Saccharomyces cerevisiae S288C: one gene and its partner. The protein of the gene in region 1 purifies or fractionates together with the protein of each later gene. This does not show direct contact. Each region holds a gene or a part of one and is shown in the gene's direction. Other genes may lie near its edges.

Region 1 (2,969 bases):
CTCGATGCAGCAATTATTATAGCTTTGTCTGATTGTTCTCTCCCTTCAATTTTACCAACAATATTAGGAATAAAATGCTTTTCCCTAACATTAGTTTGCAGATCTACATCGATCAATACGTCTCCCATTTTCCCACTGTTACTACGATCACTATTACCATCATCAACCGTTACTCCTCCTGAAGATAAACGCGATAGTAGCTCTTTTCCTTGTCTCGTGGAGATTGGGATAGTTGGAATATGAGTTTGACGCCAAAATTTATGATCCTTTTCTTCTACAGGAGAACCATCCCAATTCAATCCTGATGCATCACCAGTCGAATATTGGGGCAATCCTACAGGCTTAGATTGAACAACGTCTATATTCTCACCATATGGCTCAGATATGAAGATTACAGCTTTAGCTCCGAATTTCTCAGCAATTAGTACTTGCTGACTCACTAATTTATCATATTGCAGTAAAAGCACATAGTCCTTCCCATCTTCTATCGTTTTCGAATCTTTTAAATGTTGTAAATCGTATGTTGTACCTTTGCCTCCATAAATCAAGCTCACTTTGGATAATTTCCCGTTAGAACTCAACGGATTGAAATTTTCTTTAGAAAGTTCTAGATCATGCTTTTCATTCTTGTTATCATAATATGAAATTGATACATTGCCTGGATAATTAGAATAAACTGAGTATCCCATTTCTTTAACCAATTTCAACCCATTGTTGTCAAAAGATTCCTGAATGTATCGATAAATAGCTGCATCACCCTTCGTTCCGGATCCATGAGGCATGCTACTAATATATTCCAAATCTCTCTCAAACTTTGCCAAATCCACGGATTTTTTGGCATATTCAAAAAGTATATCGTGTTGAGAAAACATCCCTTTAGATCCTGATGCCTTTTCGTTGAATAAGTAGCCACTTGACAAGACATAATATGCAATAAATGACATGAAAATGATGTAAAAGAACCTTCGAAGTATAAAGGGATTTCCGATTTTACTTAAGTAATAGTCAGCTTTGTCTGGAACGAATTTTGATATTTGTAAGAGTGGATGAATGATGTTTTCCATTAAGGGTTCCAAAATTTTTTCCTGAAACCCAATTGAAACCCTCTGTAGATGTGTTCTTTTGTGAAGATCATCGTGAGGGTCCTCTATATCAAATTCATAAGAAGGTGGTTCAGGTGGAGGCGTTATATTAGTTTCTATACTGTTGTCGTTAGAACTAGGAGGAGAATCATCAAAACGCTGGCTCATCAACAGATTATGGGACGACGACGCAGTAGGTATAGCATTTTCATGTTCAAAGTTTGTAGTTGACACTGGTTGATAACTGCTCCTCATTAAAATTACTTGATCTCAATACCCGGGGGTATTATCTTGGTTTGCAAATTAGTTACAGATTTCAAATAACCCAAAGCTTGATGTATTTCTCTAGTATTGAGAGGCGTTTAGGAAAAGAACAACTTTAATGATGCAGGAAGTACTTGCTTAACTAGTTCTTGCCTGATGCCGTAATTTTATCTACTAAATTTCCAAGAGTTTTGGAGGCTTAACTATTGCGAAATAGAGAGAAAAAAAGAAGAATCCTAATTAGTAAGTATGGAAGAGATTTATTAAACGAGAAAGGAAGTGAACCAAAGAAGAAACGGAAATAAATCATACAGTATGAGTAAGAACAGGTCATCGCTACAGTCTGGTCCACTTAATAGCGAGTTATTGGAGGAGCAAAAGCAAGAAATATATGAGGCGTTTTCATTGTTCGATATGAACAATGATGGGTTCCTCGATTACCACGAGTTGAAAGTAGCAATGAAGGCCCTGGGATTTGAGCTACCCAAGAGAGAAATACTTGACTTAATAGATGAATATGATAGTGAGGGGCGGCATTTGATGAAGTATGATGATTTTTATATTGTAATGGGGGAAAAAATATTGAAGAGAGATCCGTTAGATGAAATAAAAAGGGCATTCCAATTATTTGATGACGACCATACTGGGAAAATAAGTATTAAAAACTTGAGGCGTGTAGCTAAAGAATTAGGAGAAACTTTGACGGATGAAGAGCTGAGAGCGATGATTGAAGAGTTTGATTTGGATGGTGATGGCGAGATTAATGAAAACGAATTTATAGCTATTTGCACCGATAGTTAATTATGACTATATATTTAATCTATAAAAATGATTTGTAACTATATTAGTATACTCCCGTGGGTCTCTCGTTTTCTGTTTTAACTTACATCTTGCCCAAGGATGCACTTAAAAGTGAAAAAGCCAATCTAATCCTGCAGGGCAACAATAAGAGAAGACAATAAAACAAAACACTGAAAAATGTCATGGAGGTATGCGTTAAAAAACTACGTTACCAGCCCAGAAACGGTAAACGATGATACAGTCACATACTTTGATGATAAAGTGTCCATAATTAGAGACTCGTTTCCTAAATCAGAGTGCCATTTATTGATTCTACCACGAACTATGCAGCTGAGTAGAAGTCATCCTACTAAAGTGATTGATGCTAAGTTTAAGAATGAGTTTGAATCATACGTTAATTCTGCGATTGACCACATCTTTAGGCATTTTCAAGAAAAGTTCCGAATAAAGAAGAGTGATGATGACAAAGACCCCTGCTGGGATGACATATTAAAAGACAAAAACAAGTTTGTAAGAAATTTTGTACAAGTTGGGATACACAGCGTGCCTTCGATGGCCAACTTACATATACACGTCATATCCAAAGATTTCCATTCGGTAAGATTGAAGAACAAAAAACATTATAATTCATTTAATACTGGATTCTTCATTAGTTGGGACGATTTACCATTGAACGGAAAAAATTTGGGCACTGACAAGGAAATTGAAACTACGTACCTGAAAGAACACGATTTACTTTGCTGCTATTGTCAGCGAAATTTTAGTAATAAATTTAGCTTATTGAAAAAGCATTTAGAACTAGAGTTCAATAGCCATTTCGAG
Region 2 (6,332 bases), on another chromosome or scaffold:
GCGATGACGATAACAGCAGGTGAATCTCTTTCAGTAAATTCCCAAAAACTGAGAATTGTTAACTGAACGAAACCGATGTAAATATATCTTAAAAGAGCACCTTTTAAGATCATTCTCCATTGTTTCCTGAATTCCCAAAACCTTGCCTTTTGGATCCATCCTAACCGGGTGGCTAACTCCACACAGCATTTGAATACTATGATAAATCCAGCCAACACATATCCACATAAGACGAAGAAAGTAAAACCGGTACAAACGATGGACGTATTTTCGATTCCCATTTTATAGCCTAGCCTTTTGATTCCTCTAAAAATTAATGTATTTGCATTACCATACAAAACATTGGTAGCTCTTTTGATTAATGGGAGCTCCATCAAATATTGCCAACTTCTTTGAGCCAAAACAGACATAGATGTTGAAGTCAGATATAAGCTAGGCGTACCACCAGTGGATTGCACATACCACCGGAAAATCCTTTGCATGAATGAGATTCTAATTAACCCCATTGACCAAACCAAGTTTTCCGCCCAGGCGGCTGCAATAGGCGGAACTCGATGAACATGTTGCATGGCAACCACGACAACAGATTGGAAGTATAAGAAAAGTGACATTGTGTTGGCAGAAATATGTGAGGCTGCGGTAGAGTTCCCAAAAGTGGATAAGATGGCAGATAGTAAAAGACCAATTCCCGCTACCACTGCAGTTGCCCATTTTACACCAATCTGAGAAACTGTTTTACCGTTTGAGAAGTATATTTGGATACATGCTAGGTACTCGCTCACATTGTTGGTGATCTTGACCCTGGCATATGCGTCGATATCGGGGACTTGGTATGCAATACCAGGAATTTCATTTACGTACTCACTGGAGATGTATTCAATAGAGTCGATCTGAATATTACCTGGGTGAACCGGGCAAAACTGTTTCCAGTTGATTGAACAAAGATCGACATTTTTAGTAATGATCTTGAAACCATATGCGTAGACATCAATATCAGCAAAAATATATGAATCAATTTGAGTTGACATATCAAGATCATAATGTAATGACCTGTCGTCTGGATTGAAAACAACGTCAAAACTATTTGCTGACAGCTGCGAGTTTTCCATACATGTGACCAATGATGTGGCTACCAGCTTCCTTTTTGCCTCTGCAAGATTTACTTTACTGGCTAACAATATTATTAGTCCAATTAATGCCGATGATTTATAAACCTGAAGAAATCTCATGCCTGTGAGGGGTATACTTTTCTAGTCTCCACTATTTGTTGTTGTTGTTGTTGTTGTTGTTGTTGTTGTTGTTGAAATTTTTTTATTTATGGCCCGCTCGTAAATAAAAAGACCTTTCTTAGCTATACTTTGCAAAGAAGTTTTCTAGTACCCACCAATGTTGATTGGCACTCTATAACGAATGACGTCTTCGAATTGTTTTGTTGTCTTTTGAGCGTTGATCTTCTGGAAAGCGGATGAACAGAAGCGTTTTTGAGTTAATTTGATAGCGTCCGTAAGCTAGTAAATGGCACGGACAGCAACAGTATTCAGATATTCTTTTATCCCCAATCCCAACGAAGACTACCTTTTCATAGTCAACAGTTAAAGGAATCAACTATTTGAAGCTAAAGCGATGGGCCGCTGCTAGGGAAAAGGAAGCAACCATTACCCTCCTCATAAAATTGATAGGTCTTCAAAAGGCTGAGACTGATAAGAACTACCAGTTTGATGTCTAAAGAAAGAAAAGAGAAATCCAGGATCTACCTTCATCTCTATTAACACCTGCTATCGAGAGGTTATAATTGTGGTTGTGGCCTAACTACGTATCATACACTATTTTTACTTTATTCCTATCCTATCCTGGAGTTCGAAGAGAACATATTTTCAAGCGAGAAAATCTTCCTTATCCTTTGCATCAATTGCTTGACTTCATTATTTGTCCATGTCGCTTAAATCAAAGTTGACTAAGATTCAGAAGTTATGGCTGTATTATTTCCCCTGTGACAGAATCCTCGCGAAGAGAATATGTAAATCGACTGTTAATACTACGGTAGCTTTCATATTTTGCTTGATACCTAAGATAACTGCGCATTTGGGAGCAGCTCCTGCGATGCTGCCAATGATTTCTGTTATTGTTCACCCTGGAAGAAGGGTCGGGGGTACTATCCATGGTGCTATCTATTGCATAACTGGATTGATATTTGGCCTAGCTTACGCAATCTTCGGCCGGTTCCTTGCGCAGCGATGTTTAGGGAGTTCTTGGCATGAGCTAACAGAGGCACAGCAGCACGTATTGCACTATAAAAGATATGAAGCGGGATTAGCAATTTTGGCTGTTTTCGAAGTAATTATGCTTTTTTTTCATGGTTGGATGAGATCTGTATCACACTATTACTTTGGTATTGTTTTCCCACTTTTTGTCGTGGTTCATTTCGCATTTATGGATCCTTTGAATGAAACAGCAGGCACTATTGCTAAAGCTTATAGTACGCCTTTCTACCTGGGTATTGCAATGTCGATTTTCTGGAATCTTGTGTTGTTTCCTGAGTGGGGTACCACATATTTGGGTAATACGACTATTGATGCTATGAATGAGCTCCATAAGTCCATTGACTATTCGATAAATTTCTTCATTGCAGTTGACCCGCACAATAGTAGCCAGTTGTACAGTAGAGATCCTGTTTCGTTAGGCAAGCTATTGAAGATGAAGTCACTGATTTCTTCTAAAGTTAACAACTGTCGAGTAGTACTTCACGAGTGCATTTATGAGTTTACTTACGCTTATGTTTCGCCAACTAAACTAAAGCCAATCATATCTACTTTGGAAAATTTGACAGTCTTCATTAATGGATTAGTTAATACATGCCAATTAGAATTTATTTTATTGGCAAGACATGATAACAAGCTCAGGCCTGATGATGTCGCAGCTTTGACACTGCCAAAGAACAAAGAAATCAGCTTTGCAAATGCTGAGAAGTTGTTGAAAGTTATTGACAAGTTGCATCCAGTGATTTATAGTCTACACCGGACAATGAGTGAATGCATGTACATAGCAAAGTTGGTACTTGCTCATGCATTTGATGTGAAAGTTTCAAGGGTTCATTCCTGCTCAATGTTCAAAGATGGTAACTTCCCAACATTCAGTAATAACGCCAATAATCTGCCCAATGATGTTGACATCCAGAACAAGATCAATGACCTGAAGCAGGCGTTAGAAGAATGTAAAGCAAAATTCAAGTCAGAAATGTTAAGTTTTGATATTGATATTATGAGTCCTAGTGATGAAATGTTTTTGTTGTCTAGCTTTCTACTAAATTTTAGGCAAACTGCAGATTCAACTTTGGTAATTATGGAGTCCGTCAAGGACATTTTAGTCAAACGTCAAATACAAGAGAAGAAGGGCTGGCTGAGAGGCAAAAGACTTTGGTTTTTAGTGTTGACCAACTACGAGACATTTTCTATCTGGTTAAAAGGCGATAGGAACTCAGTGACTGAAAATGATACATTAAAGGGTACGTTCAATGGTAATACTAATGGTTTTGCTCATGACACAGTTATTAGAAGGCCTGATTATGAAGAGAATGAACTTTTATCTCAAAAAGTTTCATCGAATAAGAACATTGTAAAAGATGATGCATCGCTAGATCTGCCAATGACAAGTGAACCCAAAGGAAATTCATCTTCTACCTCTGACACTTCTTCGTCGCCATTAACGTTAACGAAAACAACTACGTTCGGAACTAATAGAACTTCCAGGAGGCAAGGCAGATTTTCTTTTATGTCCATGCTTATTTCAATTGATAAGTTTTGTGAAGTGTCACATCCTCACTTTAGATTTGGATTTCAGGTAGCCATTGCATTAATGCTGGCTTCATTTCCGATGTTTATTCCAAAGACAAGGCAGTGGTACATAGACTATCGTGGTACCTGGATTGGTTTCGTGTGCATACTTTGTTTGGAACCTTCCGTAGGAGGTACGTTCTGGGTCTTCTTTTTGCGTGCTGTGGGGGTTATTTTTGGAGCAGCCTGGGGTTATCTTTCCTATGTTGCTGCTGTCAACCAAACCAATCCATATTTGGAGACAGTCATCACAGTTTTTGGAGCCATTCCTGGGTTTTACTATTTATTAGGCACACCCTATGTGAAGGCTGCAATTATTGAAATTATTAGTATTTATATTGTTATGCTTGCAGCAATACTTCCCTCCCAAGATGATATATTGACTAGTTTCGCCAAGAGATGTTTAGCTGTCGGCTATGGTGGAGGGGTAGCATTAATAGTTCAAGTCTTTTTCTTTCCATTGAAGGCACGGGAACAATTAAATGAAGAGATTTCTTTTGTCTGTGGCTGTATATCGGAAATGGAACTTCTCTACGCCACCGGACTGGAAGGAGAGCAAGTCGCAAGTAGTATGAGTGAAGAGAAATACAAAAAAATCGAAAAGATATCAAAAAGTGCTAAAGAGGCGTTAGCCCGTGCTACGGCCTATAAAGGACTAACCAGACAAGAGCCGAGATTAAAGGGTGAATATACCGAGTTGGAAAATGTTTTCACTCAAGTTATATTTATTCAGAAGCAAATAATAGAGAGGATAGATACAATTTCCTTGCTGAGAAAGCAAAATGGAAGTGCGGTTATTGAAGAATTTAACAGTGTTGTATATCCATATCGACGCCAAATGGTTGGAAGTATTTCTTGCCTAATGAGAGCACTTCAAGAGGCATTTATAAATAAGACCCCGTTACCGCAATTTTTGCCCAGCGCAAGAATTGCACATAGAAGGCTGATTAATAAAGTGCGCCAAACTCTGCGAATAAGATATCCTGGGCAGATTTCAAATTTAAGTGATAAAGCAAGAAAGCCAAATGAAGGAGATTACGCTGACGGCAAGGATGAAGATGACGATGATAACGAAGGTTTGGTAATGAAAATGAATAGAAGGGGACAGGCCAACACAACAGCTAATCCTCATGAATATGTTTTAAAAGAAAAATTTTTAAGTTGGAACGCATCTAGTGCTGCATCGGAAGAAATAATTGAGTATATTGAAGAGCTGTTGAATTTAACTAAAATTCTGGTCGGTGTAAATGAGTTTAAATACGGGTTTTTATCGCGTCCACTTTACGAGGACTGGGCTGCAGAGGCAGTAACAGGATTTGATAATTTCATTAACGGGAAAAGCAATCCTATGAATACACGGCGCAATCGGACCCCATTTGATGGTACTTCCATCATTTCCGAAGGAAATGAAAGTTTACAAAGTACAAATTCTAATGAATCTCAAATTTCTCCTGATTCCACAAGAAGTTATGAGCCGGAATGTCCAGTGGCATACGAAAAAAATGATAATCCGGCAGCGTTGAATTTATTACGGATTGCTTCTCATAAAGCAGGCCAAAACGCGGATGGCTTACCAAAGACATTTAGAAATAGAGCATTTTCCATTACTTCTACCTCCGGCCAACTTTCAAGCTTAAGCAGACACAGCACCCTTGGTAATGCGGATCCTAATTATCTGAACGATGATGATGAAAGCTCTGATGATGATTTGCCATTAGCTTTGAAAATGGTGCTAAGTCACATGAAAGAAAAGAAGGACTAAGATATTGAAAAGTCCTAATGTAAGATAATTACCAATTTCATATTCATTGTCGATTTCACTTCGCTTAAAGAATTTTTACTGTTTGTTTTTTGTAAAGCCTTTCCAATAAAAAATAGAATGATAGATAAAGGTCATAACTAGAATGGTGGCGAACAAAGCAAAACTTAAATTATCTCTGCATACAAGCGTATAATTTCCTTATCTATAGTAATATATAAGAACTAGAAATCTGCCTATTAATTAATTACCTCCCTAATCTTCTGGGAATTATGATAAGTCAAACCTGGCGCCTGAGTTTATTGCATATAATAATTTCTCTCTCAAAATTGTTTTGTTTCTATAATCTGGCAATTTTAATAAATTAACACAGGTAGATGCCGTAGGCAGCCTGTATTTCTCTGTCCCTGCATTTCTGATACCAAATTTTGGATCTAATGCCTTGAAGCCTTGCAGAGGAGCTTGCGGAACGGACGTGACAAATTTCAAAAAATTCAATTTCTCTTCAAACTTAAACTCATTCAAAACCTCCCAAAAATCAACAATTGTCTGATCTTCTTCTTTATAACCCCCGTATTCTGTGTTAGATTTCAGATCGTCTAAATCGATATTATCTCTCTCACCTGATATTAACATTTGTAGTTCTATAGAGTTAAACATCTCCATCCAATGTGGGGCAATGATAACACTGAGCCCTCCATGGAATGCCGAAACTGGTTTGAAGCATCTTTTGTTTAATTTGT

What was found.
Region 2: the proteins of CDC31 (region 1) and YGL140C purify together in Saccharomyces cerevisiae (affinity purification with mass spectrometry, with the first as the bait; one large-scale study listed by BioGRID). This does not show direct contact.

Annotation. Positions count from the first base shown.
Region 1 is NC_001147.6:809,347-812,315, forward strand, and holds CDC31 (centrin), read left to right. Parts: upstream 1-1,661; coding exon 1,662-2,147; downstream 2,148-2,969. Other genes in the region: TRE2 (putative zinc metalloprotease), read right to left, coding at 1-1,337; HNT3 (DNA 5'-adenosine monophosphate hydrolase), read left to right, coding at 2,325-2,969. UniProt on the Saccharomyces cerevisiae protein: Functions as a component of the spindle pole body (SPB) half-bridge. At the SPB, it is recruited by KAR1 and MPS3 to the SPB half-bridge and involved in the initial steps of SPB duplication.
Region 2 is NC_001139.9:240,613-246,944, reverse strand, and holds YGL140C (uncharacterized protein), read left to right. Parts: upstream 1-1,932; coding exon 1,933-5,592; downstream 5,593-6,332. Other genes in the region: FLC3 (putative flavin adenine dinucleotide transporter), read right to left, coding at 1-1,229; ubiquitin-ubiquitin ligase HUL5, read right to left, coding at 5,860-6,332.